Linked DNA regions of Astyanax mexicanus. Each later gene encodes a partner of the first gene's protein in a complex. Links are inferred from orthologs where the notes say so. Each region holds a gene or a part of one and is shown in the gene's direction. Other genes may lie near its edges. The genes, in order: tubgcp2, nme7, tubgcp3 and tubgcp5.

The links.
Region 2: tubgcp2 (region 1) and nme7 share a complex: the UniProt entries of both Homo sapiens proteins name them as parts of the gamma-tubulin ring complex. The link is inferred for Astyanax mexicanus from reciprocal best matches to the Homo sapiens genes TUBGCP2 and NME7.
Region 3: the proteins of tubgcp2 (region 1) and tubgcp3 are in contact, whole or in part, in a cryo-EM structure (PDB 8Q62), measured with the Homo sapiens proteins. The link is inferred for Astyanax mexicanus from reciprocal best matches to the Homo sapiens genes TUBGCP2 and TUBGCP3. Residues at the interface, in NP_006650.1 of Homo sapiens: Gln172, His173, Pro175, Ile176, Phe177, Pro178, Trp180, Arg184, Ala186, Leu187, Ile188, Gly189, Phe191, Leu222, Tyr223, Val226, Val228, Asp229, Gly230, Arg231, Glu278, Ser281, Phe283, Gln287, His290, Ala291, Ala294, Arg297, Val300, Lys301; in NP_006313.1 of Homo sapiens: Glu272, Asn273, Cys274, Ser286, Leu287, Asp289, Thr290, Val292, Arg293, Glu296, Trp299, Ser361, Thr363, Leu364, Arg365, Leu368, Val369, Tyr372, Lys375, Ile376, Lys379, Ala382, Ala383, Asp386, His387, Ala402, Tyr403, Lys405, Thr406, Gly407.
Region 4: tubgcp2 (region 1) and tubgcp5 share a complex: the UniProt entries of both Homo sapiens proteins name them as parts of the gamma-tubulin ring complex. The link is inferred for Astyanax mexicanus from reciprocal best matches to the Homo sapiens genes TUBGCP2 and TUBGCP5.

The regions. Positions count from the first base shown.
Region 1 is NC_064422.1:23,249,642-23,256,707, forward strand, and holds the start of tubgcp2 (gamma-tubulin complex component 2), read left to right. Parts: upstream 1-4,051; 5' UTR 4,052-4,145; intron 4,146-5,229; 5' UTR 5,230-5,256; coding exon 5,257-5,406; intron 5,407-5,583; coding exon 5,584-5,712; intron 5,713-5,814; coding exon 5,815-5,991; intron 5,992-6,110; coding exon 6,111-6,270; intron 6,271-6,532; coding exon 6,533-6,740; intron 6,741-7,066. UniProt on the Homo sapiens protein: Component of the gamma-tubulin ring complex (gTuRC) which mediates microtubule nucleation.
Region 2 is NC_064412.1:46,691,438-46,699,297, forward strand, and holds the start of nme7 (nucleoside diphosphate kinase 7), read left to right. Parts: upstream 1-4,859; 5' UTR 4,860-4,989; intron 4,990-5,257; exon of another isoform or gene 5,258-5,351; intron 5,352-5,467; 5' UTR 5,468-5,585; coding exon 5,586-5,588; intron 5,589-7,860. Other genes in the region: zgc:172121 (homocysteine S-methyltransferase YbgG), read right to left, coding at 868-1,029, 1,124-1,227, 2,085-2,257, 2,366-2,433, 4,388-4,459. UniProt on the Homo sapiens protein: Possesses an intrinsic kinase activity. Displays 3'-5' exonuclease activity with a preference for single-stranded DNA. Does not seem to have nucleoside diphosphate kinase activity.
Region 3 is NC_064428.1:26,418,642-26,425,467, reverse strand, and holds the start of tubgcp3 (gamma-tubulin complex component 3), read left to right. Parts: upstream 1-3,804; 5' UTR 3,805-3,963; coding exon 3,964-4,039; intron 4,040-6,724; coding exon 6,725-6,826. Other genes in the region: atp11a (phospholipid-transporting ATPase IH), read right to left, coding at 1,670-1,708. UniProt on the Homo sapiens protein: Component of the gamma-tubulin ring complex (gTuRC) which mediates microtubule nucleation.
Region 4 is NC_064412.1:18,779,504-18,787,047, reverse strand, and holds the start of tubgcp5 (gamma-tubulin complex component 5), read left to right. Parts: upstream 1-4,535; 5' UTR 4,536-4,672; intron 4,673-5,786; 5' UTR 5,787-5,787; coding exon 5,788-5,921; intron 5,922-6,039; coding exon 6,040-6,093; intron 6,094-7,173; coding exon 7,174-7,282; intron 7,283-7,544. Other genes in the region: chst7 (carbohydrate sulfotransferase 7), read right to left, coding at 3,040-4,323. UniProt on the Homo sapiens protein: Component of the gamma-tubulin ring complex (gTuRC) which mediates microtubule nucleation.

The DNA.
Region 1 (7,066 bases):
ACCAAATGTCTTAGACTACTGTACAGTTCACAGTTCTACAGTTTTTCAACGAAAAAAAACAGTTATTTACTGTATGATTTTACTGTAAAAAAAAAAATCAGCAGTTGGTTACAGTGCAGTCATCAGAGGGGCTGGAACTGTGGTGGTTTCACTTTTGAAAGACGCTGTAAAGTCCATTCTTTTCTACAGCCATTGGTATGTTCATCTTTATTTTTTATAGAATGTAGAAAACAATTGCAAGACCACTGATCTGTGCTTCTATTCTGTTGCTGATAAGGTAGGTCAGGTAAAAATATGGCAAATACTTCAATGCTTATCATCTTCACAAAACATTAGCCAACTCAAGTGGATAATAAGTACCTCCTTAATGACATTTGGGTCATAATAAAGGTTACTGCAACCTGCAAAGCCCTTTATTACTCATGGCAGACTGGCTGCTATGAAACAGAATGGCTTCAAGTGAGAATTGTCTCGGTCCTCTTTCATACATCTCTGCTCAACAACTCAATGTCAAAAGGGTTTAACTACAAAATCATTACATGACAATGATAGGGAGGGAGAGAAAAAATCTATTAGCTGTTGGAAGAATAGGTTAAAGGCCTGGAAGCCTAAAGCTGTATGAACTGTCAAACAGTTCTATAACTATAGAGCAAAAAGAATAGAGCCTAAATATGTAGAAGATGGATGAAGAAGTGCATGTCTAAACCCTCTCCAAATGTCCTGGAAATTGTCTTATAAAAAAGTTGTGTAACCGACTCTCCTGTTCCAACTGTATAAAACTGCCAAGCTCACTGAAACACCGTAGAGTAGAGCACTCTTAACACAGTGCGGCCAAATATCAACTTTCAGGAAGCTTATGTAAAATTTCATGGCATTAGCAGTTTTTGCAGGGCATTAATTTCCTGCATCGTCAATCTCAGGTCTTCTCTGTAGTAATACTGAGATGAGTGATGGGACACTCTGCAGACTCCATCACTCCTCCAACCATGCTGCTCACAGCCTGTATCAGTCATTTTAACCTGATGTTCTTTGCTAAATCATAGATTATGCTTTAGGTATTTACCTGGAAAATGCACGGCTAGAAAAGTGACCTGGATGTTTCTAAACAGACATTTCAACATAAATTAGTGGTCAGTATACAGCTGTGGTCAGAAGTTTATGTGCAGGGTATGCTTGATATATATCACAGTTGTGGGGAGTCACAGCGGTTACACCCACAGCAGGAAAACACTAAAACAAGCAGAGGTACTCTGGTCTCATGACCAGGATTAAGAACCACAAGGCTTAGTGTATTTCACTGGCATTGAATTCAGGTACATAAAAATGTCAGGAAACCCTTTCTGCCCGCATATTAATGTCCACGGAGCATTGGTTCTTTTATGTTTTCGAGGTCTCTTTATTAAGTTCGACTTTCATTTTTAATTTGAGGGAAGAACAAGCATTTGATAGAGAAGTTTTATTAATTTCACTGTTGTGATTCTCATTTCTTACCATTGATATGCCTAATAATCATCTTAGCAAGATCTTGGGATTTGACTGAGGCACAACAAAGTCAGCTCTATTCTTCTTCCATTGTCTGTGTTTTTTTAAGCATAATTTATTGGGGGGGACTGACTAGATCAGCTCATTGGGGGGGCGTCATGTGGGATGTGGAATGAATTGGTGAGATGGCACTTCATTTTTTTCCTTTTTTTCTCTGTAATGCTGGCGGTGAGTCATTAATCCTACTGAGAAACGTCCCAGGAGGTAGCGTGATGCATTGTGCTCTGGGACAGATATTAGACTGCTCTCTATTCACAGCTCAGCTCTGACATACAGTCTGATGCTGAAGAACAAATCAATCCCCCACAATACACCTCATTTACATAGATCTGAGAGTGTAACAGATGCTAGGTAGAATGTGCGAAAGCTTGCTCTAATAAAATAGTTACATGCTTTTGAACTACTTGTCTTCATGTCTTCATCATTAACACCTGAGAGTTGCATTAAATGGCAGAATCATCAAAGTGGGTTGGAGGGTTGTCAAGCAGGTTTTGTGGTGTTAGTTTTTAATTTTTTTATGTGGTTGTTTGGTTTTGACCACTAACCATCATGTTGTAAACTAGGCAGAGATTGTGCCTTATATAACTTCCATGGCCTTTTCACAGACATGTAATCATTTGGGAAATGTTGCAATCTGTGAATGTATAAAACCAATAAATTCAACAAGAAAACACTTGGAAAGAACAGTTATAGTAGGGAAATCTGTGGTTTTAATGTTCTACCCTGATCTCTTTATGAAACATTTTTACAAACTTAACTTATGTTGGAACTGCAGTCAGTTTTTCCAGCGTATTATTTTGAAGAGGCCGTTAGTGAGTTAGTAACTTGGTGGCTGCTTTTACTGGTAGCTTCTAGTAAACAAGTAATAGATGATAATAAGAAAGGACTTTCAGTTTAGTTTGTGATGTTAGTTTGTTTTGAAAGAGATGTTTTAGGGTGGTTGTTTTAGTGTTGTGGGTTTTTTTTTTCAAGTTTTGATAACTTACCATTATTATATCAACTAGGCAAAGATTTAGCCTTATATAGATTTGTGTCCTATGTTGAACTGTGCAGTTGTGGAAGTCAATACTGAACACTGATAATGTTATTGCTAACACTAATCCTAAGCCTCTAAAGGCTATGTTCACATTACCAGGCTGAAGTGACTCAAATCTGATTTTTTCATGGCTGTGTGAACGTGCCAAATCAGATTTTTTCAAATCAGATTTGAGTCACTTTCATATGTGGTCCTAAATAGAATACATATCTGATCCATAGACATGCGACATAATTGTGAATGGTCAAATCGGATTTCATGCATCTTTTTTCTTTTACGCATGCGCTACTTGCTTCTCTCTCTCGTATCAACACATCTCTTAGTGCAGAAAGCCGCCTGCCCTTTTTTCACCTTCTTGACCTGAGCATGTACTTCAAATGAGCTGTTTGCTCTCCACTTGAGCAAAAGATGCTCCACATATGAGCTGCTGAAGCAGCCATTTCACCTTTATAAAGCTACGAGTCGTCTCTTAAATATGATGTTTTTTTGTTGTTGGTGAAGTTGACGTTTATACAGGTATCAATGTGCGCATGTGAGACGTTTCAGGGACAGATTCGTTGACATTACACACAGATACAGGCACTTACATTTGTGATTGTGAACCTTCAAATCCGATCTGAGCAAAAAATCTGATTTAAGAAATATGGCTTTTAATGTAGACGTAGCCTAATTTAAGATATGAGCAAAAGGGAAAACAACAGGTAATTCAGTAAAGTGTGTTTAGTTTGGTGTTAAGAAAGTTGTTCTGTGCTGTTTTGGTTCTTCAGCCAAAATGAAAAAAATGTAGTGGGTTTTATAGATTAGACTGGAAAGGTGTTCATAGGTGTAAACAACTCATGCTGTAAATAATACAGTATCTGTAATATCCAAGTAAAGTTAATATACTGGAGGCAGCAGAAATGTCAATCCAGCTTGTTGTAGTCAGGTCATAACTGAATCAGAAGCATTATTAGTAATTTGTAGACATTAACTGCAGATGACTGTAGCAGGCATAGATAAAGCCCAGTGTTATTTATCTTAATCTCTACTGCAACTGCAGTCTTGTCTAGACCAAATACACCAAGTTCCATCTCTTTGTAATGTATTTTTATGTTTCAACTATTAAAGCTTTTTTTTCAAATATTTTAAAGTATTTTTCAGGATTTGTAAAGAACAAACACATTTAACAATTAACATCATGTAGAAAAACAAATATGGAAAATTGTGATACTAAAAGAGATGTTCTCTGGGGAGCTCTGCTTATGTAACTTAGCTAATATCATTCATCTATTATCTGTCCTTTGTAAATGTAATTACTTAATCAATTACAGCCTTATCTCCTCATTTAGCCTCTATTTCCCCACTCATCTGTTTATCATTTTCCCAGCTGCTCAGAGCAGCACATGCTGTTACCTACCCAACAGCTCAAGTATATAGCTATATTTTTTATCCTCCAAGTAAGAGACTTTTATTTTGTAACGGCGGTCGTTTTGGCGGTTCTTCGAAAAAATAATAAGAGTCTCTGATATCTTGTTAGTTAGCAATGTCAGTGTTATTTACACGATAGCTGCGCGCTTCTGCAACTGAGGTAAGGCTGACTGTTTTTCTAATGTTTATTACAGATATATCGTGTGCGCTAAGACGCGTTTCAGCTGATTAAATGTCTGTTTTTACTCAACAGCCTGTTTTTGGTCAAATAAACCCTCCGCCTTCACTGATGCTAGCAGCTAACGAGCTAATGCTAAAGTTAGGCAGAGGAGCTGCTGTAACGTTAGCTAAGTAAGCTACGCTAAGCTAACTGAGGACATTGGCTATATTTGCCAGTTAACTAGGTTATGTTTGTTGGCTAGAAACAACTGACCAAAGTTAATGTGTTGCTTGCAGTCTGCGAACCCATTTGTGTCCATTTTCTCTAATGAATTTAGATGTAATTTAGCTAACTTAGCTAGCTAGTTGGGTAACCATAGCTGTCTACCCCGCAGTGTTTTGAATCTGTTGATGCTCCATGTTTTCTAACGGTATGTAACGTTAAGCTGTTAACTTTGACCAGCTAGCCAGTGAGCTGTTCTGTCGTAGCTGCTAATACTGTACAATATGAGAAATGCTGGGATTTTATTGGAATTCCTTTACTGAAAATATTCACTGGGAAAAAGCATGATTGATTTCTGTTAACAATACTGTATCTGAAGTAAAGTAGAAGAAATGACGCTACAATTGAACCCTCTATGACATAAAGTTGCTCTGAGGCAACACACCATTTTTTTGGTTATTACACTTTTCCATACTATCAGATTGTCTGTATTTCTATCTATCGATCTATCTATCTATCTATCTATCTATCTATCTATCTATCTATCTATCTATCGTTCTATCGTTCTATCGTTCTATCGTTCTGTCTATCTTTTCCTCCAGAAACATGTAATTCATGCCATAGGGGGTTAAGATTTCTGAAATCATTGAATTTCTGATTTGCAGTATTTGTACATTTTGTGGCAATTAGGAAAACCTGGCTTATATTTTCTTTAAGTGTAATGTGGTCTCAAAATTTCTCCCATGTGAATTAGATTTTTTTTTTCTTGAATAACCCCAATTATCGATTTTTTTTTTTAGCTGAAGAAGAATGTATGATAAAGTCATATAATTGTTGTTAAATAACCCCAAAAAATGTTTAGGCTATTGCAGGTGGTCGATGTGACACCATGAGTGAATTCAGGATACATCATGATGTCAACGAACTGCTCAGCCTCCTTCATGTTCGAGGAGGAGATGGGGCTGAGGTCTATATTGATTTACTGCAGAAGAACAGGACTCCATATGTCACCACTACAGTGTCTGCACACAGTGCTAAGGTAGGGATGGGGATATTAAATAAAATGCATATAAGCTGTGATTTAAGTTGTAGTAAAATTAGCTATAATGCAATGTCTGGAAGTTTTCTGTATACGTTGTTTGGTTAAAGAGCTCAGTCAACAGTAAGTTATATATATTTTGCTGCTCTATGATTTAAAATTGCAGTCTTTTTACAGGTTAAGATTGCAGAGCACTCTAAAACACCTGAGGACTTTTTGAGGAAATATGAAGAACTGAAGTCAAAAAATGCACGCAACTTGGATCCACTTGTTTACCTTCTTTCAAAACTCACAGAAGATAAAGAGGTACCCTTTTAATAAATGTATTTTTGCCTGATATTGTAATGTATTTGCATTAACCTTTTTTTTGACGCCTACCTAACGAATGTGAAATGTGTTTGGTCCCAGACCCTGAAATGTCTGCAACAAAATGCCAAGGAGAGATCAGAGATGTCTGCAAATGCAACATCAAGCAGCACAACATCCTTCAGTATTCCCACCACCAGCACCAAGATGTCAATGCAGGAGTTGGAGGAACTGCGCAAAAAGCTTGGGAATGTAACAGCCAGCACCAATGTTCCCCAGGTGTTTACTTATTTAACAAACAACATTTAATCCTCTCTAAAATAAAACATTGCAATGGTATTGTATAATAAATCTATGTTAAGCTGCTCAGACTGACTTTGAAATGTTTTATTTTTCAGTCTGCTGAAGTTATTCGTAAGATGCTAAGAGACAGACACAACAAGAAGAATCCCACACAGCCTATTCCTGTGTTTCCAAACTGGGTGTATGACAGACCTGCACTTATTGGAGATTTTATGACCAGTCCTACACCAATGGGGGATCCAGTTGTGGCGATTGGTAAGCTCATGAACTTCATGTGTTTAGTGTAGTGCAATCACAACTAGTAAAAATAGTCTGCCATTGGCAATGCTACATGCCAGTAGTGCATATAGTGTTTATGTGCTTATAGGGGAACACATGCAAGCCCTCAGCCTGCATGCTTATATTTTTTGTTTTTCTTCTCTTTTTAGGCAGGTTCATTATTGCATTATCTCTCTCAACCTAATTTAACTTTTACAATTCTTAGATAAAAATCTGTTTATTAATTATGTCTTCACAGGGACAATGCCACTGCCTGTCCAGGAGCAGGCTCTGGTTGAAGACTTGCTGTACGTACTTATTGGTGTGGATGGAAGAGACGTCACAGCCCAGCCTGTGCTTGGCCGACAGAGTCGCTCCTTCATAGTAGACCCTTCTCTGGACATGTCTATTAAGGAGCTGGTAAACCGGGTCTTACCAGTGGCATCCTGTTACTCCACAATCACACGGTTAGTAGAAGGGATGACTTCCCTCTGTAATAGAGATGTCTTGATCCATAGCTATACTGTTTGCTGTACTTTTCTCCATTTTAGTTTTCTACAGTGTCAAACCCGCTGTTTAGCATGAACGTTAATCCAGCAAACTACCTATCAAGCCATTCGCTACTTTCCTCCAAACTGTATCAGCACCGCTGTGATGAAGACTCTCAAGCATTCTCTCTCTCCCTCTCATTCGGTGTCTCTCACTTACTCCCTCACTCTCTCTGACACAAATAAAAGATGATTGCGCATTTCTTCTTTTTAGGGTAGGTTGGAAAATACAGCTACACTAGCAT
Region 2 (7,860 bases), on another chromosome or scaffold:
GAATTATGGGAGTTGGAGTGAGGGCTGATAGTGGATGCAGGTGAATTATGGGAGTTGGAGTGAGGTCTAATAGTGGATGCAGGTGAATTATGGGAGTTGGAGTGAGGTCTGATAGTGGGTGCAGGTGAATTGTGGGAGTTGGTGTAAGGTCTGATAGTGGGTGCAGGTGAATTATGTGAGTTGGAGTGAGGGCTGATAGTGGGTGCAGGTGAATTATGGGTGCAGGTGAATTATGGGAGTTGGAGTAAGGGCTGATAGTGGGTGCAGGTGAATTATGGGAGTTGGAGTGAGGTCTAATAGTGGATGCAGGTGAATTATGGGAGTTGGAGTGAGGTCTGATAGTGGGTGCAGGTGAATTGTGGGAGTTGGTGTAAGGTCTGATAGTGGGTGCAGGTGAATTATGTGAGTTGGAGTGAGGGCTGATAGTGGGTGCAGGTGAATTATGGGTGCAGGTGAATTATGGGAGTTGGAGTAAGGGCTGATAGTGGGTGCAGGTGAATTGTGGGAGTTGGTGTAAGGTCTGATAGTGGGTGCAGGTGAATTATGGAAGTTGGAAGTGAGGTCTGATAGTGGGTGCAGGTGAATTAACATACCTCCATCCACAGTGTCATGTGTGTAAAAGAAGCACATCATAGAAAGCTAATATTACCATCCACCGGCTAGAATTGTCTGTGTGAACAGAGACTAGCGGCTCTGAGAGAAATTTAGATTCCTTATCCACATTCAATGCAGGAGACCCCACCCACATATCATACAGCTCAGTGCAGTTCTCTTTACCTAACATGAAACATGCCAAAAGTCATGGGACACGATACTAGTTCCTGCCACATTACTTTTGGCAGTTGAGTGTGTAGACGGCCTAGGTACCTTGCAGGAGAAGGACATCCAGGCTTTAGTATTAGGAAACTCCCTCAGCAGCCCCACTAAAGCTTCCACCTCTTTAAGGCAGGGTATGGTCTCCAAGGCAATGAGGTCGGCTTCTGCTGCCACTAAGCAGCGGACCTGTGGGCGGTGCCAGTCCTTCAGCTCCTGCAGTGACAGGAGCATGGGGTTTGTGCCGGGTCTGAGAGTAATTAGCTAGCTATTAACTCCTGTATGAACAAAGTGATTTATTCAGGCTTACCTCCACACTCATCTGGCTCTGATAGTTTCCAGTGTACTCTGACCCATCGTTCAAAAACGCCCCGTATGGACCCACAGAACCAGCCACCAGTGGCACTGCTCTGTCTGTGAACGTTTATCAGAATAAAAAGTTGTCAGTGAACATAATCTACAAAATTAAAGGAACAGTATGTATTAAATGACAACAAGCATATACAAATATCTAATGCAGTATAATTTTAAAACACTAGAGAGAGTTGACTGCCACTAATTCTCCTCCACAGACTGCAGGGTTGAAAGCAAATCAGTGCAAGATGAGATCAAGTATAATCATATTCAAAGCTAAACTGAGTCAATATAAATTCAATTTTTTGTTTCTGTTGTATCTTTGTGTACATTAGTCTCTGTTGAGTTAACAGCTGTGTCCCGTCAGTTTACCTTAAATACATGACTGCCTTGATAACCCAGCTGCACTCAGCTGAGCACTGAGTATAAATGCTGTGAAAATGTTGAAATTATCTTAAATGCTCATCCCTGAACTAGCGGTTGTGACAAATTACCCAGCTAATGTTAGATGAAATTCAGCACTACTCTGTTCTGAAGAGAATTAGCAGTATCTGTCTTGTAGGCAGAGCGTGGGGCCAGAGGCTAAAAGACAGAAATATTCCACCTTGTGTTTGGCGGTATGACGGTATTTCGGTACACCACGGTTTTTTAAACATGGTGGAAAAACTTCAATACCGCTCAACCCTAATTCCACCCAATAACAAACAGTTCTAAGGAGATAATCCTAGAACTTAAACTTAGCATTAGCTTAGCATGTTACTCGATCATGCATCCAGTCTAATTTTTCAGTTGCTACAAAAAATAATACATACTGGTCTTTTAATGATCTCAGATAGCCTCACGATTTTTTAACAATGTCTGTCTGCCTCTGAAAAATATTCTGAATCTAAATTAAACGGCTATGCTAACACACACACCTGCTGCTGTACAGTTAGTGGTAAAGAGCGCTGCAGTGTCTTTAGCGATCTGAACTCCGGATATTAGTAACTCCTCAGCCTGTTCAGGTTTCAGCTTCAGGTGTTTGAAAAATCCCTCCAGAGTGGCCTGGTACGTAGCTGTGGTGATGACATCAGATCCACTCTGAAGAAACCTGCGCGCAAACACAGACACACACAGAGGAAACAAGCTCATCATCATCCTCACAGTCTGACTGCAGATTCAGACACAATGAGGGAAGAATGAAACATGCTGGAATTACCTGTAATGCACATCTTTAATGGCCTGTGGGTCTGTGTAGAGGACTTTAGCGCTCCATAACGGATCCTCCTGCAGAAACATGTCCCAGAATAAAAAAAGATAATGCTTTATAAGTCCCACAGAATCATAATCAAATACTAATCCTTTACAGTGCTATGCAAAAGTATTCGGCCCCCTTGAAATGTTTAACGTTTTGCCACATTTCAGGCTTCAAACATAAGATATGAAATTGTTATTTTTTGTTAAGAATCAACAACAAGTGGGACATAATCATGAAGTGGAACAAAATGTATTGGATATTTTAAAATGGGGCGTGCAATATTATTTGGCCCCTTTACTTCCAGTGCAGCAAACTCACTACAGTAAGGATCTCTGAATGATCCAATGTTGACCTAAATGACTGATGATAAATAGAATCCACCTGTGTGTAATCAAGTCTCCGTATAAAACCTCTGTGATAGTCTCAGAGTTCTGTTTAAAGGGCAAAGAGCATCATGAAGACCGAGGAACACACCAGCCAGGTCCGAGATACTGTTGTGGAGAAGTTTAAAGCCGAATCTGGATACAAAAATATTTAATAATGAATAATATTGCACACCCCACTTTTCAGTTTTTTTATTTCTAAAAAAAGGAAAAAATATCCAATAAATTTCGTTCCACTTCATGATTGTGTCCCATTTGTTGTTGATTCTTCGCAAAAAATACAATTACATATCTTTATGTTTGAAGCCTGTAATGTGGCAAAAGTTTGAAAAGTTCAAGGGGGCCGAATACTTTTGCAAGGCACTGTATCCTTATTCAATGTTTTTCTTTTTTTCTTTTTTTATTTATTTTCTACATTGTGGATTAATATTAAAGACATTTGGCTTCCACAATCCCCGATCTTAACCTGATCAACTGAAATGGTGATTTGGCTACTTAGAAGAATAAAATAGAAGTATAAAACAGATAAAAACAGATTCTGGTTTGTTTAACACTTTTTCTTAACAAGATAATTCCGCATGTGTTCTTGTATAGCCCTAATGTCTTCAATATTACTGTAAATAATACAATATAACTGTATTATTGTAAATGAAAAATAAAAAGTGAGAATAACTGCAATTATGCAATATTATTTTTATTTTATTATTTAAAGTGTTTATTTGACCATATTACCAACTAAACACTTTGCATATTCAGCTTTATTTTTGTATCATATTTGTAATTATTTTAAACCACAATTTAACAAGCTGGATCACTGACTTAAGGTACAAATGTGTTTATTATTTTTATACTGCTTGTTGCAAAAGAGATACATATTACAAGGTCAAAAATACAATCTGAACTATACTAAATACTTAACATACTACAACCTAAATAAAATGAAATAAACTTTTAAAAAGAAAGTCAACATACAAGAGCATTCACATTAATGAGCTTGCTATACTAATTGCGACCAATGAATAATCTTGAGGTCTGCAAAAATGATTGAGGTTATGTTTGTGTATTATATCATAGTCAATAATTATAGTGACAGGCCTAGTAGTGATACTGCACACTGTTATGGTAACAGATAGTGGTTTCAGATGTTTAATGCTTTAGATTTCATATGTATACGAATGTAAGATTGAGACCTCTACAACATTATTTGACAAATGTGACCTTGTAATATGTATCTCTTTTGCAACAAGCAGTATAAAAATAATAAACACATTTGTACCTTAAGTCAGTGATCCAGCTTGTTAAATTGTGGTTTAAAATAATTACAAATATGATACAAAAATAAAGCTGAATATGCAAAGTGTTCAGTTGGTAATATGGTCAAATAAACACTTTAAATAATAAAATAAAAATAATTTTCTGCCAGGTTTTTGTCGGGTCTGAACACTGATTATAGTTAATGTGATCAAATAATTCAGTATCATATTTTCTATGTTCTGTTGTTTTTCCTGTTTTTCTTAATATGTTCCCTGTAACACACCCCTGGTGTATTTTTTGGTTCTATTCTCCTATTCTATGTCTGCTTCTCTAAAGCTCTCAGTACCTGTAGATAAAATCCTCTTTCCTCCAGTTCTGTAGCCAAACCCCCGTCCAGTATCAGAGGCTTGCTGGTCATGCTGGTCTCCTGATCGGCCTGGGTTTTGATATACGAACTGTTTAAGATTTTAAACTCTGCTTCTCCTCGCAGTCAGTCTATAAAACACACAATATATGGATGATATTCATAATTATAACAGTAAAATATAACTAATTAAATATATTAATATCAAAGTCTCACTCTTAACTAAGCACTTACTGTAACTGCAGCTCATACTGTCCTCCTCTGCTCCAAACCTGTACTAAAATCCGCAGAATAAATATTAATCTTAATCCCATTTTAATCATAACAAAGTCCACGTGTGAGCGCCGGTCATACTACGAGCTACTTCCGGTGTTCTGTCGAGTTGTGCTACGCATCGACATGTGCTACTTAGGGGCTCTCCGCATGCGCGACCAGATTTTAGTGTAGCTACTTATTACTTCCAATTTTAACAAGCAGATTATACTATCTGAGTTTACTGCGTTAAAATTAAGTCGTTAATTAAGTCGTTAAGAGAAATGTAGTCACAGCTGGTGTTTGTTTGACTATTGTATAGATTCAGTGAGGTAAACTAAATTAGTAAATGAGTGCTGTAGACAGTGGTAGCATGTTAAAATAAATAAAGTATTTGAAGTACTTAATAATAATTTAAGATGTAAAAATATTGTCTATAATTCAGATTTTCTGAGCATTCAGCCCGTCTAAATTTCCTGTTTCTTGTTTTATTTAGCCAGCTTTACCAAAAAATTAATTTGCAAAAAAAAATGTATGATACATGTATGATATATGTATCACACATAACCTTATCTGTTCTTGCAAATTAAGTATTTAAAGAAATATACATTAGGGTTGCAGACTTTCGTAAGGTAGTAACATTTACTGAATAACCTTAGTAATACAAACTAGAAGGAAACGTGTCTGTTTGTTGGTATAAATATATTTATTTTGTTATTTCGTATTTAATTATTATTATATATTATTTTAAATACAACTATTAACTGACATAAATGGACTTTTATTTCTTGTATGGGTTTTTGTTGCTAGGAGACAAGGCTGATAGGCACGCTGTGGGAGAAGCAGTTTTAGCCCTTAGCTGCTAAACAAACAACAAACCACCTAAACCAGCCCAGCCCGAGGATACTGGAGAGCCTGGATTGCGAGAATGGTACATTACATTACTGCGGGAGGGGAGCTGGGATGGCATGTTCGGTACTTTAATCGCAGTTAAAGAGTTTATAATTTTATTTCCGGGTGGATTAATAATCAGCGCTAACACTGGCTAGCTGCAGCTGCTGCCAGAGCGCACGCCTGTCTGTAGCACTGTTGTTAGCTATCTTAGCTAGGCTAGGTTAGCTTAGCTATAATAGCTGCTTGGCTAACTCGCTGAAATTTTACTGTTTGCTCCATATATTTGCCATAACTGGCACTAAATGCTCTGATAAATATCAAATTACTTCTGCACAAAAGTTTGTTGTAAAAACTCGCACTGCCACTTATCTGCATATTTACACCTTCTGTAGTTAATCTAGCTTACTGTTTATGAACTTTATTCATTTTTACCAAACCTATTACAGTGTTACTCATGCTGCACAGTAATGTTCTTTAATATTATTCTACTGTATATGTTATTTTTCAATTCTGTGTATTACTGTCTACTTGCACTGCTCTTACAGTTCAACCCTTGTTCTGCATTGCTGCTCCTAGTCTATGCTGCATTTCTTTAGCAGCTGTACAGCTCTGGAAAAAATAAGAGACCACTTCAGTTTCTGAATCAGTTTCTTTGATTTTGCTATTAATAGGTAAATGTTTGAGTAAAATGAACATTGTTGTTTTATTTTATAAACTACAGACAACATTTCTCCCAAATTCCAAATAAAAATATTGTCATTTAGAGCATTTATTTGCAGAAAATGAGAAATGGCTGAAATAACAAAAATGATACAGAGCTTTTAGACTTCAAATAATGCAAAGAAAACAAGTTCATATTCATAAAGGTTTTAAGAAATCAATATTTGGTGGAATAAACCTGATGTTTAATTACCGTTCGATGCATCTTGACATGTTCTCCTTTACCTGTCTTACACAATGCTTTTGGATAACTTTATGCCACGCCTGGTGCAGAAATTCAAGCAGTTCAGCTTGATTTGATGACTTGTGATTAATTTGGTAAAATTAAAGAAACTCATAATTTTTAAGTGGTCTCTTATTTTTTTCCATATATATTGTTACTACGTACCACCTGTTATGGTTACTACGGCACTTAATGTAACTAACACTGTATATTACACTTCTGGTTAGATGCTAACTGTATGTCATTGGCTCTGTACCCGTGCTCTTCACAATGACAACATTTAATCTAATCTAATTTAATAAATAGTTGTTTAAGGTCTAGGTAGAGCTAAAATCAGAAATCAGGAATATTAACTTACATAATTCATGTAAACCAACATTATGTGAAGTAAATAATGCTCACACATTAAAAAGGCCTAGATGCAGCTCATTCATTTTTCCACGTGAACTAAACCTCCACTAAAATCTACAGAATTAATATTAATCTTATAATTCCAATTTAATTATAACAAAGTCCCCATCATAATTCCACATAATAAGAAGCTAACATAAGTAATTATACATGCAGTATATGAATGAATAATGCTTGTAATTAGTACAGGAAGAAAAGCCTTTAGACTTTTTTTTTTCCAAACCTTTAGACTTTTTTGGGTTCATTTTGAGACCATAAATGTAGGCTTACGTTAATCCTAATAGTGCTCAACAAAAGCTTTGTTTGACCAATTTGCAAATTCCATAATACAAAAATGTTGTTATGTTGATAAAAAGAAAAAACATGAACACAAATCCAAATAATAATAATATTAATGTTAATGTTATGTTAATGTAATGTTAATGTTAATGTTAATATTAATAATAATAATAATAAGAACAACAACAGTAATAATAATAATAATAATAATAATAATAATAATAATAATAAGAAGAAGAAGAAGAAAAATCTTCCTAGAGTTTTTGTTATAAAGGTTTTTAAACAGGACGTGCAGCATCTTAAACCAAAAATAAACAGTCTAGGTTATTCTGATTTTGTGTTAATTAAATTTCACTAGCAGGAATGCTAGCAGCTATATGTTTTTTTTATATGGTATTATCAATGAAAGAAAAGGCTGTAATACACTTATTTCTCAGCTCGGGTTCTCTGATAATAGTGTGGGACTGTTCATGGGTTGCCACTAGATGTCAGCTATACCCTATTATAAACACAGCTACAGGTTGATCAGCTTTGTGGTTTTGTATTAATACCAGGTGCAGTAGTAGTTGACAGTTATGGATATATTAATTCTTTTTTTCTCTTTTTTTCTGTGATTGTTGAAAGTGTTCATTAGAAATATATATCTATTTTCCGAAGAATCACAGACAGCCAAATA
Region 3 (6,826 bases), on another chromosome or scaffold:
TGCAAACTACAGTATATTATTATTCAACTGACATTCTTCTCCTTCGTTTTCTTCTCACATCTTCTTATTACATTTCTGCCAAATTGTCACAGCGTGACAAATCATCACTTTTTAATTTTCAGAGCTTTTTCATGGGATGCATAGTTTTCATATAAATGAAGTCATGACTCTTTTTTTGGGGCGGTCCTGATGATTGTTGATTTTTGATGGTCTTTGCAACTGCACTCGAGAATACTTTTAAAGTTCTTTTCTGTACTTGCCATAATATGAATTAGAACATTACTCAGATACTCTAAATCACTTTATATGTTTTTCTAAATAGTAGTAAAAATGTAGTATATTTTACTACAATGCAGACCATTTTTTTTTAATAAAGAAAAACAATTAATGTACTTAGCTAGAATGTTATATCATGATATGAATGTTGGCAAAATCTTCCAGCCATACTTAGCTAACTAGCTAACTAGATAACCTAGCTAATACACATTAGTCACCTAACCTACAGCTCTGGAAAAAAAATCAAGAGACCTCTTCAGTTTCTAAATCAGTTTCTCTGATTTTGCTATTTATAGGTATTTGTTTGTTGTTGTTTTATTCTATAAACTACTGACAACATTTTTCCCAAATTTCAAATAAAAATATTGTCATTTAGAGTGTTTATGTGCAGAAAGTGAAAAGTGGCTGAAATAACAAAAATGATGCAGAGATTTTAGACCTCAAATAATGCAAAAAATAAAATAAAAAGAGTTCATATTCATAAAGTTTTAAGAGTTCAGAAATCAACATTTAGTGGAATAATTCTGTTTTTTTTTCATGCATCTTGGCATGTTCTCCTCCACCAGTCTTACACACTGCTTTTGGATAACTTTATGTCACCCCTGGTGCAAAAATTCAAGCAGTTCAGCTTGGATTGATGGCTTGTGATCATCCCTCTTCCTCTTGATTATATTCTTTATAACGGAAACTGTAGCTAGTTAACATTTTATCATGATATCAATTTTGGCAATAACGTCCAGCCATACTTAGCTAATTAGCTAACTAGATAACCTAGCTAAAACACATTAGCCACCTGACCTGGGTTACCTTGGTTACCTAGCTACATACAGCTGCTAATATATAACCTACAGTAGTAGCCCACTACACTACTACTACTACTACTACCACTGTCTTTATTATTTTTCTCTCTCTAGTATTTACATAATAAACCCTGGCATATGACTGTCTCAATTTGTTACTAAAGCTATGGATATACATTAATTAGCTGTGTGCTGTGTGTATATCAATTAGGTTAGTTAACGATAACCTAGCTAGCTGCTGTTTTTAGCTAGAGAAATATGGTGCTCACACTGGGGTTTAAACGGCTTTACTTATTAGTAAACTAACTAGCTAGCTGCTGTTTTTTAGCTGGAGAAACATGGTGTCCACGTTGGGGTTTAAAGGGCTTTATTTATTAACGTTAGTTAATTAACAGGCAGCAGCAGCAGCTTCAGCCTTCAGTCCTCCTGCTTCCATTCACATTCAGGAGAGTAACGTTAGAATAAAGAGAGAAAAAAGGAGAAAAGAGAAAGACGGAGAGAAAGAAGGGGCAGACCAACAAGTTGAACAGGTTAACTAACCTAGGTAACGGTTAACGAGGTTAGGTTAAGTAGGTAACGTTAACGTTACTCACGTATCTGCTGATGAGGTTCCTAATGGTGCTAAAATCCATCTTCTCCTGCCGGTCAACACCACCGCCTGCGTGTTGCTCCTCAGATCTTCTTCAGGCTGCGTGTGTGTGTGCGCGGTGTGTGAGTGTGTGTGTTGATAGAGAGGTGTGTGAATCGCTAGCTGATCTTCCTCTGCTGCTCCATGTCTCTGTTTCTGTCTCTGCTGCTGTGTCCGCCGGGACTGATACACACTGATACTGAGACAGCAGCAGGGCTGCACGGCTCTGACCGGGGCTTTATTTCTCTCCAGGTCGCGGTGAGAGCGCAGCGGCGAGTCCGGGCTTGCTCATGTTGTCTCGGGGCTCCGTGCGCTCACCGCCCCGCTGACCGCCGTTCAGTCTCCGAGTCTTCCAGCAGCCCTCCTCGAGTAGTGCTGAAGGAGGCAAGCTAGCTAGATACTTCTTCCTGGACAAGTGTTGCGTTCCAGCGGCTCTGCCGAGTCCTGTCCCCCTCTCTCTCTCTTTCTCGCTCTCCTTTTCTCTCTCTCTCTATCTTTCCCTCCCTCCCTCTCTCTCTCTCTCTCTCTCTGTTTCCCACCCATACACAGTCTATGCTCTCACCCCAGTACTAGCCCTCCATGCACAACCAATCACAGCCCTCTCTCCAGGAGCGTCACGGGGGGCTCGAGGCGCATGCGCATTCCCAGCCACTCCCACACCCTCCTTCCCGCCCTAACTTAGCAAGATGCTGTATTTATAAGCAGCTCCATAATACAGTACAGTAGCTGGGCCAGTATAGGTGTTGGAGTGAGCTTCAGAGCATGTAATCCACTAATTATAAACTAATTTACTGCAATCAAGCAATGTTCCAACATCCCATGTATTTTTCGTATCACTTTTGATTAATGTTTAATATAATAATATAATACTCTAAATGTTCTTTTAGAGCATCTCACACAAATCACTTGCCGAAAAAAATAAGTCTAGTTTTAATACAATTTAATGTTTTAATTGTTCTATAAATATAAACACTGAAAAAGATTTAATGTGAACACAATGTATTGTACACATGTAACACATGTAATGTACAATGTATTGTACACATGTAACACATGTAATGTACAATGTATGTGTTTATCTAGGTTGCTAAAACAGAAAAACGTATCATAACTGTTATACCGCAAATCATGCAACGCATTTCCAGAATGGTGCAGTGTGAGCCGCAAGTTTAATATATAGACTAAATATTTAAACTCATATTCAATAAAAAATATGTTATGCAGATATAAGTATACGGTAGCGGTCAAAAGTTTTTTACTGTTAATTTAATATTAAGACATTAAAGCTTTACATGAATGGGGAACTATTGTTAGTATTATTATTATTATTATTATTATTATTATTATTATTATCATTATTATTAATAAACAAAAAGTGTTAAACAAACCAGAATATTTAGAAAGTAAATTTTATTAAAATTAAATTAAAAGAAAAAAGTTACACTAAATAAGAAGGTGTGTTCAAACCATAAACTGTTACTGTACATATACACTATAGAAGTATACTAATACTAAAGCCAATGTGATTTAATAATCATAAAATGTAGAAAACAGATGCTTCACCTTTTTTACTAGCATCTAAAATACCGTGCAAATAAATGTGATTAAACTCTGTATATTTAGTTAGTTTTATATTTAGTTTAGTTTTGGGCAAAACAAAAACCAGACTGATACAGGTATTGTCACTGTCCATTAAAACCTTTCTAGCTATCTATTTTATTCATTTTTTGTAATTCTTGTAATTTAATAGTAACTTGACAAAATGACGCGGAATAAGCCATTTAATGTATTGGGTTATATTGCCCTTCTAAAAAACGGAAATTTGGAAATTCATAAAAATAAATATTGTGGACCTCCATAATAAGCATCAATTATAATAAGCAGTATCATTAGCAAAAAAATCTTATTTTTTCATAACAGTTTTTTTCAGTTTCTAAATGCATTATGTGTCTTTACTTATGCTTTCTGTGTGTATTTATTTATTTGATTAATTCATTATAACCTATCCCACAGTGGTCTGGATGTTCTTTTATCGGTAGGAACGAAAAGCTCGGAACCCTCGATGAGCGCTTGTTTCTCAGTGGGCCGTATTTTCACTCCGCCGTGTATTTTTTTCCCGCTCCGTTTCTAACCGAGGCCGCCTTTTCGGCGGGTTGTGTTAAAATGGCGAGCCGCTGGAGGAATAAGGAGAGCGGGCAGGACTAAGGTAGACCCCCCGGACCCCTGCGCTTCGTCTCTGACATCCAGAAAACGGGCAGGATGGCGGCTCTGGACCAGAAATCGCCCAATGTGCTTCTGCAGAGCCTGTGCTGCAGGATCACAGGCAAGAGCGAAGGTAACGAGCAGCGGAGCTAAGCTAGCTAACCTGAATAAGGTCCTCTATAGCCAGCGTTTACCACCGCACAGCTGTCTGAAAACACACGACTGCTTCGTGTTTAATGTGTGTGTGTGGTCGTTTTTCTTCAGCTGGACCATTTTTGACCATTAATGAGCTGTTTATCGCTGTCTTGCTTTAAGAGTTTTGTGAAAACGAGAAAACTGCAAATGATAACTGGGAACAGAGCTGAGAAGAGAATCTCTACTAGCTAGCTAGGTTACTGTCTCTGTAATAGTTTAAATTTAATATTAAATGTAATAGTTAAAAGTTTATAATGTTTAAAAGCATATATTGGCTATCTTTCTATCTTTCTCTCTAGTTAGCTAATTAGTTTCTCACCCGCTGTGGTCCATATCTCAAGCATCTTATCCTGGCTAGTTAGTTAGCAACCTATCTTGTCCAAGCTAGCCCAGGTTGCCAGATTGAATCAGAGAAGCAGTAAAGATACACTGACATGAGGAGTCAAACGCTGCCATTTAGACATGCATGCATGCATTGCTTTGAATGGAGTGATGGAGAAAAAAAATACAGTGCTCAGTGCAGACACACCTTCTAATCAGTGACTCATCTAGTCATCTCAGGATGCCACAGCTTGTATAATCTTAATTAAAAAGCATTGGCAATAGAATATGATGCTCATAAGTGTCACCTGTTCTACAGGAACTTTTTACCTGAGCAGAGAATCACCTCTCTAGAGATTCTGGCGTATATAAAACAAGTAGTGTCACTTGAAAAGGATGCAATGGAGTATAATGCCATTTAGGCCTGTCATGATGATTTTTTGTGTGTGTGGGGATGATATATTGCAATAAATTATATTATTGTCTTTTTAAGACCATATAAGTGCCACTGACTACAAAATGTTAATTAATCTTAGATTGGAAAATATATATCCTCTTTTTTGCGCCTTCTGCATTGGTCGTTACTAAAATACTGTTCACTGTTTTTATATCACAATCATCTAATATTATTAAGGGCATGTCCATTTATTGTATAACAATTCAAAAATATTATTATGTTCATGGCAGATCTAATGCCAACCATTAATTTGAAGATTTGAAGAGTAAAGGTATTTTCAGCACACTGGGAAGTACTGAAACATTTGCATGCAAGACTAATTTAGATATGCTCAAAAGCCAGGCATGAGCTGCAGGAACTAAGCTGTTAAGTTTTGGAAAAATAAAAACACCCAGACCTTTTGGAACAGCCAGGGAAATTTGATCTACACATTTTTGTGTTTCCATTTATGAACAGAGAAAATCTATTTTGAGCTAACAAATACATCGGTAAATCAAGTAATTTAGACCTACACAATGGTGCTCTTAGGATTTGACATGCATTTTACTATTAAAGGTTGTGCGTCAGATTAATTTAAGGCCTACTATAATCCAAATTTGATTATAGTTTTAGTTTGTTTTTGGTTTTATTGTTTATGCATTCAGTGATGTTTTAAAAATCGTTTGATCATAATAAAATTTGTCTTGAAGGCATAGAAAAGTCATGAAAAAAATCGTGAAAATTTATTGGTTAAAAGTTGTATGAATCTGGACCAGAATTTGAATCAAGGTTTATGTGTACATACATTTGGCCTGCTTTGTTTTGGTTCTAGACTAAATAAATAAATAACTTTGCTGCATACCGTTGTCGTCACCTACTATTTTTACAATTTGATTGTATAATGTTTTAATTAGGCGAGATGCCTTTACAGATCCTTTTGCTAGAATTCAGCGTCCCTTCGCCTGCCTGCACGTCCCACATCAGAATGAATGTAACTGATTAGCCTCAGATCACTTATCTCTGTTTGCAAGTACAGTTACAGTAGATACAGTGATTGCCAGTGTAATCAGTTCTGATGGAGTCGGAGGATTTTGGCACAGCACCAGTTCTTTTGCTTCTTCTGTTGCTGAATGGTTGACAAAGTCTAAAACATCTACTAACTAACCAAACTCATGTTCCAATTGATACAAACACCACCTTTTTTGGTCTAAAGGTCCACACCATGATTTGCAGCACCTTTTACACTTGCTTTTACACAAGTTAAATGTGAAAGCAGCCTAAGTTGTGAAGTACAGGAACTGTGTGGACCAATCAGGACTGATGGCACTCCATCTACCAGTCCAGAGAACTTTTAAGGAAAGCACTGGCAATAGAAAGGGATGCTCTGGGCCCATCTGTTGTAGAAGAGTAGAGACTGGTACTGGTACAGTAAAAGTGGGACACTCACTATTTCTACTCCCTTGTTTTTTTGGGCACATATTGCTTTCAAGGTAGTTTCATAATTATATTACAAGTTGTCAGTTTCCATACAGGACAGTACATTTGGCATTATCGACTATTGTATGTCAGCAGTAAAGAGATTTCTGCTCTGAAAGCTCTTCAGTAATATGACCCTCCTCAGAAAATGAGGTAAAAACGATTAGATAAATGCCTGTAGGATAAATATAGACCCCATATATGGCCCTTAATTTAACATCATTGGATGCAGTATTGATTACGTTAGCTACAGTATGTCTGCTTATTTGACATGGCGTCTAGCTTTATACCTTTTTATGTTTGATTTGTCTTTTATTGGGGACAGAAAAAAGGTGCCTTTGGGATGTTTAACACGTGCGTCACTGAGTTCTCTGACCTTCTTTTTTCCAGCTGATGTGGCGTACCAGTTTCAGTATGCTGTGCGGGTCATCGGAAGTAATTACGCCCCGACCATCGAGCGGGACGAGTTCCTGGTCTCTGAGAAGATCAAAA
Region 4 (7,544 bases), on another chromosome or scaffold:
CCTTCTAGGCAGTTGTTTAGAAGAGCCAATGGCTGTTGGTTGTCAAGGCAGGAATTCCGAAATTTTCATCATCTGGCCTTTCTTAATGATGATTATAAACAAATATCTTGGGGGTGCCTTACATTTGCATGGTACTTCTTTTTTTCTCCTTACTTCAAACAGAAAAAAAACAGAACTATGAAGTATTTGGTATTTAAACTGTAGCATGCCATTGTACACAGTTTATTTTTATAGCTCACTTTCTTATCTTTTTCTGTTGATATGGAGGCACCTCCACCCTCCAAAACCACCCCTTTACCTTTTTTCTCTTCTAGCCCTGATTGGTTGCCAGATAAAGAAAGCAGATGATGATGATCTGAACTACTGTATGTTGACTACCACATTTCACAATTGCTATATTGCGACAAAACGTAACTTTCCTGTCAGTCATGTTATAGTGTTGAGTTTGGAGGAACTGAGAGAAAATGCTGCTCTTTTTAGATGTTAGATGTCTCGTTATCCTGACCTAATACTTTTTGATCTATGCATCACAGCTCCTCTCTCTGGTTCCTCTTTATTTTCAGCTTTTACAAAATACTGTGTGGAGCTTGTTTTAGTTCATTGTTTATGGATTTAATCTCTTCTTTTGTAATGTAATCTGATTAGTTCAATAATGCTGCTGATGGAACAGACATTAAGGAGCTCTTCTGAACTCCGAGGGATTCATCCCACTGTGCCAAAAAAGCACATGCACTGTTTTTTACTGAGCAGTCGCTTCCCATGGGACTCTGTGGAAAATAGGAGGTGGCAGGCAGTTGGGAAAACAGCATACGGTAATGTGTACACTGAATAGTAATAAGACTGGACCTGTAATATTAGTTTAAATATGCTTTATATGGTATTTCAAATGAGAACACTAAAGTTCTTTGTTAGAGCCAATAAGAAACTAACACAAATGTACAAAACCCAAACAAAAGCAGCTCTGCAAACACTAACAATGGATTTGTTAAGGGATGTCAGTCAAGCGATTCAAAAATGGCTACAATTGTGGCTACAACTATATACAGCTATGGTGTATAAACACAGGGTAGTATTGATGGAGGTGGTGGAACAACACTGTTTACTGTCAGACTGCCTCCTGGCAAACCGTCTCCAAAATCGTACCAGGACTTGCTACAGCTGGACAACTTGATGACCTGGAAAACCTTCCAGCAATTTAAGCAAACCCTCATGCTGACCTATGATATGAACATTTTAGTTATAGTATATAGTTGGCATGAACTGCTGTCTGCTGGAGAACTGTGAACCAGTATTGGTGTTTCTTTTAAGACTTCATTTGAATTTAATTGGTCCGACTGACGTATTTTTCAACTGATAAAAAAAATTACACTACTATACTGCAATAATAACTACAATACTAATATTGGTATACTGTTAGGACTTCTATATGACTGTCTAGTATGATAGTATTCCATTTTGGCATATGCAAAATCTATGTACACATATCCCTAGGGTGATTATCCTCTCGTATTTGATCTTATAATATAATAGCAAAATGATGCAATAACAGCCTTTTAAAGAGCATTCATTTTTGATAGGATAGACAACAAACCAGCTCAATCTTCTTAATGTGATCTCCTTTGAAAAACAGAGATCAGGGATCTGATTATTTTTACCATATTATAATAAGAGCAGTGGCCTGTTGCGCTGTATGCTGGAGTGCTGGACTCTCAGTGTGTATCACGCCACACTGCTTTTCCCCACGCAACACACACAGGAAAGCGAAAGTGGTGTTGTCATGCACTGTAATAGAAGTTACAGAGTGTCTGTTTGGTCTGATTAAATGATGTGAAGATTAGAGTAGCAGTAAAACTGTACTCCCTGTGTGAATGTGTGTGTATAGCCTACTCCCTTCTCCTGACAAGAAATATATAGAAAAATATAGTAAAGCTTCAGTATCAAAAAATAAAAAATAAACCACTAAAAGGTACACTCTTCTAGTTTACACTATGATGATGCTCAGTCACCATACCTCATCATTTCAGACCAGCAATTCCCAGTACACTCCTCTGGGACCTCCAGGCTCACCTGTACCAGGTAAGTAGGTGTTTCTAGTTGATTGGATCAGCTGTGTGGAGATTTCAGCAGTAATTAAGCTGAAGTCAAACTTCAGTGAAGTCACACACTGCAATGTTTGTGTGTTTGGTGCAAAGACTTTTCATTATTTAATATCTTGTTGATTATCCAAATGACTGTACTTATGTGGGTGTGAACAGTTTATTCTGTAACTTTCAAAACTACCCAGATATTATACAGTCATTATATAGTACTATTATTACCACCAGGGAACATTTAAACTAAACAAGCTGAATTGTTTAAATATACACAGATATTTAATTTGTCTGAGAGGGCTGAATAGGAAAAACACAAGTATGCTTAGGTCCCCACAGGTGTACACCACCTGCAGGTCTCTAAGGACTAAGCTGACGTTTATTATCTGTACTAGCTAAATGTGTTAGATCATGACTGGAGCAAATCTCTAAACCATTTTTAGGCCGTGTGACACACATGACCTAATTAAAACTTTCAAGCACACCCAAAAAGCGATTCACATAGATGCATATGCCACTCACACAAATTTTGCATACATAGAAGACTAGCTCGGGTTTCCACACACCATATATGTATGCCATTGCTATTGCTGTCTGCTAACTAGCTTGGTGGGATGTTTGATTATTGTTTCTGGTCAATGCAGTATGCCTACTGATTCAAGCATATGGTATTTTTAGCGAGGGTATTCAGAGGTTTGGAGCCAAGGGAGGCCAGCACAGATTTATGCTGATTCCTCTGTCCTAGCACTAGAAATTTGAAAATAAACGAGTGGGATGAAGTTGGGCTTGTTTGAGCAGGTAAAGCTCAAAAGTGTGCTGGAGTTTAGCCCTCCAGGATCACTAGATCCTCCTCAGTGCTCTACTAGACACTAGAGTGAAAATTATGTAAACATCAGCCCACACAAACACACATGCTCAGACTCCACGGTTCCTTCTGCTTACTTGTACTCTACGTCTGGTCCGGGTTCCTCTTCTGGTAGCCCAGCTGGCGCATGACCTCGCTGCAGTAGGCCTCCACCTGGTTGACCTGCTCCACGTTGAGGCGCTCCCTCCAGGCGTAGATGGCTTCTTTGGCGTCCCGGGACGAGATAAGGAACGGCTTGTCCGAGCTGTATCCTCGACCGCGCGTCATGTTCAGCACGAACTTCTCGAGCTCGGGCGACACCGGCAGGTCCGAGAACCGGTACAGCCGCCGGAGCTCGTCCACGGGCCGCAGCACCAGGTCCTCGTAGCGTATCTGCATGTAGTTCCTGCGCAGCCACGGCGGCGCGTTGGCCACGAGCAGCATGTCTCCGAGCCAGCCGTCGCAGATCAGCTCCATGGCGCTGGCCACGTAGTTCTCGGCGCGGTTGGCGCGCGCGCCGGGCGCGAGCAGGCGGCGGTAGCGGTCTGCGTGCTTTTTGCTGCGCAGCACCTGGATGCTCTCGCGCACGAGCGCCAGCTTGGACTTGAGGCGCGAGTTGTGCACGGCGCGCGGGTCGCGGAACAGCTGCACGACGCGCAGGTTGAGCGCGGGGTCGCGCACGAGCGGAGCCAGCACGCCCACGTCGAGCACCCGCACGTCTTTGATCACCACGGCGCGGTACTTGCGGCACTCGCGCTCGAGCTCGGCGAGGTCGCGGGGCGGGCAGCGCGCGCACACGTCTCCCTGCACGAGCCCCACGTCGCGCTTGCTGTAGGCGGCGCACAGCGGCTCGGAGCAGATCACCTTGTTGGTCTTCCAGCCGAACACGAACGCCGTGCTGACGTTGGCCGCGCCCGCGTACAGCCGCAGCACGGAGAAGTCGCAGCGGAACAGCGAGCTCATCATGTCGCGCACGGCGCCCTGCAGGCTGGCCGCGTCGCCCGGGTACAGCGCCTGCCACATATTCCACATGGGCTCGTAGAGGTAGAAGACGTCCGGGTGCTGGTTGAACAGCTCGCCCAGGAACGACGAGCCCGTCCTCCACGTGGCGTGCAGATAGATGTGGATCTTGGTGTCGTTCCTGATGCCGCCGTCCTCGCCCGCCGCCTCCGTACCGTTACCTCCTCCTCCGGCTCCTCCTGCCGCTCCGCCGCCGATGCCGCTCCACAGCGCCATAGTGTTCTCCAGGTCGGGGCACCTCTGCTGCTGCACTGCATGCTTGGCGTGAGCCGAGTGACCGCGGTAGTCCAGCACGTACGGGACGAGCAGCAGCAGGACCGAGTAGGCGACGATGAGGATGATGTACTTCTTCTGAAGCCTCCTCTTCATTGCCGCAGCGCTCGGCTCGGCGATCCACTCGGATCTGGCGCCCCCGGTACACACAGGACTATCAACAGCCCTCAGCTCCGCTACTTCTGGAAGAGGGGGAGGGAACAAACACGCCCACACCACAGAGACAGAGAGAGAGAGAGAGATAGATAGAGAGAGAGAGAGAGAGAGAGAGAGAGAGAGAGAGAGAGAGAGAGACAGAGAGAGAGAGAGAGAGAGATAGAGAGAGAGAGAGAGAGAGAGAGAGAGAGACTGTAGAGTACACTAGCAGACACACAAACACAACATAAAGGCCAGCAGCCTTTAAAATACGAGCTCACAATCAGCAAAAAAAGAGAAGAAACTACAGGTAAAACAAAAGTTCATGATCAGATAAGCTACCTAAAATGCCTGTGCCTAGAGAAAAAAGCAAGATAAGAAAATCACAAAGCGGGTGCCAACATCAGGCAAAGACCAAACAGAATAAGACCACAAGCACACAAAATAGAATCCTGGAAAAACAAAAAAATGCAAAATATGAAAGCACAAAAGTTCACAAATAGGCAAAATTCCCAAATCCAGAAAATAAGTCGGTTAATAAAGACAAGGTAAGGGTGCATACCAAAACCTTCCCAAAATAATCGCTTAACTTCTACGTTTTTCAGGAACCACAAAAATGTGACATTTGTTTAAACATTAGCAATGGTTTAAAGAAGAATAATTGGACTTAGGGTTTACTGAAACATGATAAAGAGTCCCAGCAGCTAGGTTACTTAACTTATATAGCGCTCCATTGCTATCTATTGTTCTTGAATCCTCATCCAATTCTGAGGAGGATGATTCACCCCTTCTTCTTGTAACTCTGTTCCAAAGGAAGGGGCTACAGTTTAAAACAAGGGGTAGAGGTACAAACTATTAATGGGATTGGGCTTCAAGATAGATGTCTATGGGCCTCAGTGTATCTGGGATCAGTTATAGCTAGGTTGGCTAGGAGGCGGTATAGAGCTGCTAATGCTTGATACGTTCGTGTTTAACCACAGAAGGAGCATCAAAACAGGCTGAGCGGCAAGAAGGAGAAACGGGCTGAACTGAATGAGCAGCGAATCAGTTCACTAAATCGAGACTGAACTGCGACAGGATTATTATAGCAAGCACTGAGTAAAGGGGGGAAATAACCGCAGCACCTGTGAATACTGTGAGGGGAGGACCTGCTCGCTGAGCTCGCTGGGTTAGATAGCCTGCTAGGTCTTAGCTGTATGACTGAAACCGCCGTTATGATGATGCTAAGCGGTTGGCTAGCTAACTTAGCTAACGATAGTAAGCAAGGTTCACGCTGTTAAAATGAACGTAGTGAAAACCTACAGAATCAGCTCAGCTAGACCTGTGAAGCCAGAATGGCAGTAGGAAGAGATATAAGAGTAATTTAAAATTTTAAAATCGTATTTACAATTGGCTAGTTAGCTAACTTAGCTAAGTGTCTGCAGGATGGCTCACTGGACCAAATTTGAGAAGGAGCTGGAGCAGGAGGTGAAGAGACTGATAGCACACATGACTGGCATTCAAGATGAAGAGGACCAAAACTTCCAAATGGCTCTCAAATTCGCCTGGTCAAATTTCAAGTAAGGACATGTTTGGCTCAGGCTGTATTCTTAAGCTGTTCATGTTTGTAATTATATGTTTTTTACTGTATTAAATTGTCCTTAAAGAGTTGATTTTTACTTTTCTTTATCTTGCCAGGTTTCACCGTTTCCTGGATGTCAGCAGCCACAATGTGCAGCGCTCAATAAATGGGTGAGAATAAGATTGTGTTTAATTTAATTAAAACATAACACAAAATGTAAGGAGATTTGTGTTTGGAAGATTATTTCTTAAGCCCTATCCGGACGCGTTTAATAACATAGCTATTTGTCATGTTGGGCGCACGTTTCCACGTTTCCACACAACAGCGAATGGAAATGGAGGAGCTGCTGAACGCGATGTCATGTGACTGCAAAAGTCTCAAAAAACTCACTGGTCCTCCTGTTTTTTCAATTTCACTCCAGATGCAGAGGTTTTACCACTAAGTGAAAGTATGAAATATTTTTCATAGACATCCTCCTGAGAAACTAATCCTATCTGGATAGGGCTTATGTTGTAACAATACTTCTTGACATTAAATCTCATACAACTATAAAGCCTCTTTATTATTATTTTTAATGGAGCCACATTTCTAAGGAACACATACTTTTGGGATGAGCAGCAGTGCTGAGTATGTGGATTGCATGAAAAATTGGCCAAATATTCTTATTCTTATTATTATACAGCTTATTTTGCTATTAACCCTTGTTTTAAGCCACTGGTTCCCCCGGGTGCTGCCTTATTAGCAGTGCATGTGAGCATGGGCTATGCTACTGTGGTCAGTTGGTGTCTGCTCAAAGTATAGGCATGCTACATTTGTCTGATCTGGATAGGGACCATGTGGAAGGCCAACTTCAAGCTGGTGTTCCAAAAAAAAAAGTTGCAGCGTTATTTGGAGTGAGCCATAGTAGCATCTTCAAATTAAAGGCTAAGTTGAAGGCTACAGGGGATGTCTGTAAAAGTTAGCGGCCCAAGAAGATGGTCAAACACCAAATTAGTCAAGAAGAGGACAGATGAGCTGTTTGGCAATGGCAGAGAGGAATGGCAAATTTGTCACGGGCACAACACACATACTCAGCTCTGCTGCTTATCCCACAAATGCATGTTCATTACAAATTAAAGAGAAATTAACAGGCTTTCAAAAGGTATAAGATTTATTACCGAAGAAACAAACTACCAGAGACACATGTTCTTACCTTTCCAGCTATGCTTAGTTTACAAACTGATAACATGTTCACCTCTTGCATTTCTTAGAATATATGAGAAACTCATGGTGCACTCAGACCTGTGTAAAGCAGAGAGCTGGACACGACTGACTGAGGAATTCCTGAACTCCCCTCTTCCTACTGCTGAGGGTACCATGGTAAAACACTCTAAAATCATACTAGATTACTTTAAAACATTAAGAAACCTGCAAAGTATACACTACCAGTCAAAAGATTGGACACACCTTCTCATTTATTGTTTTTCTTTTATTTATTTTCTACATTGTAGATTAATATTAAAGACGTGAAAACAATTAAGGGACACATATGGGATTACTTAATAAAGATTTAGGATAAGCTGGAGCTTTTGGAAGGAAAAGCAGCGACTATTGTTCAGCACCTCCAGGAACTTCTTCAAGA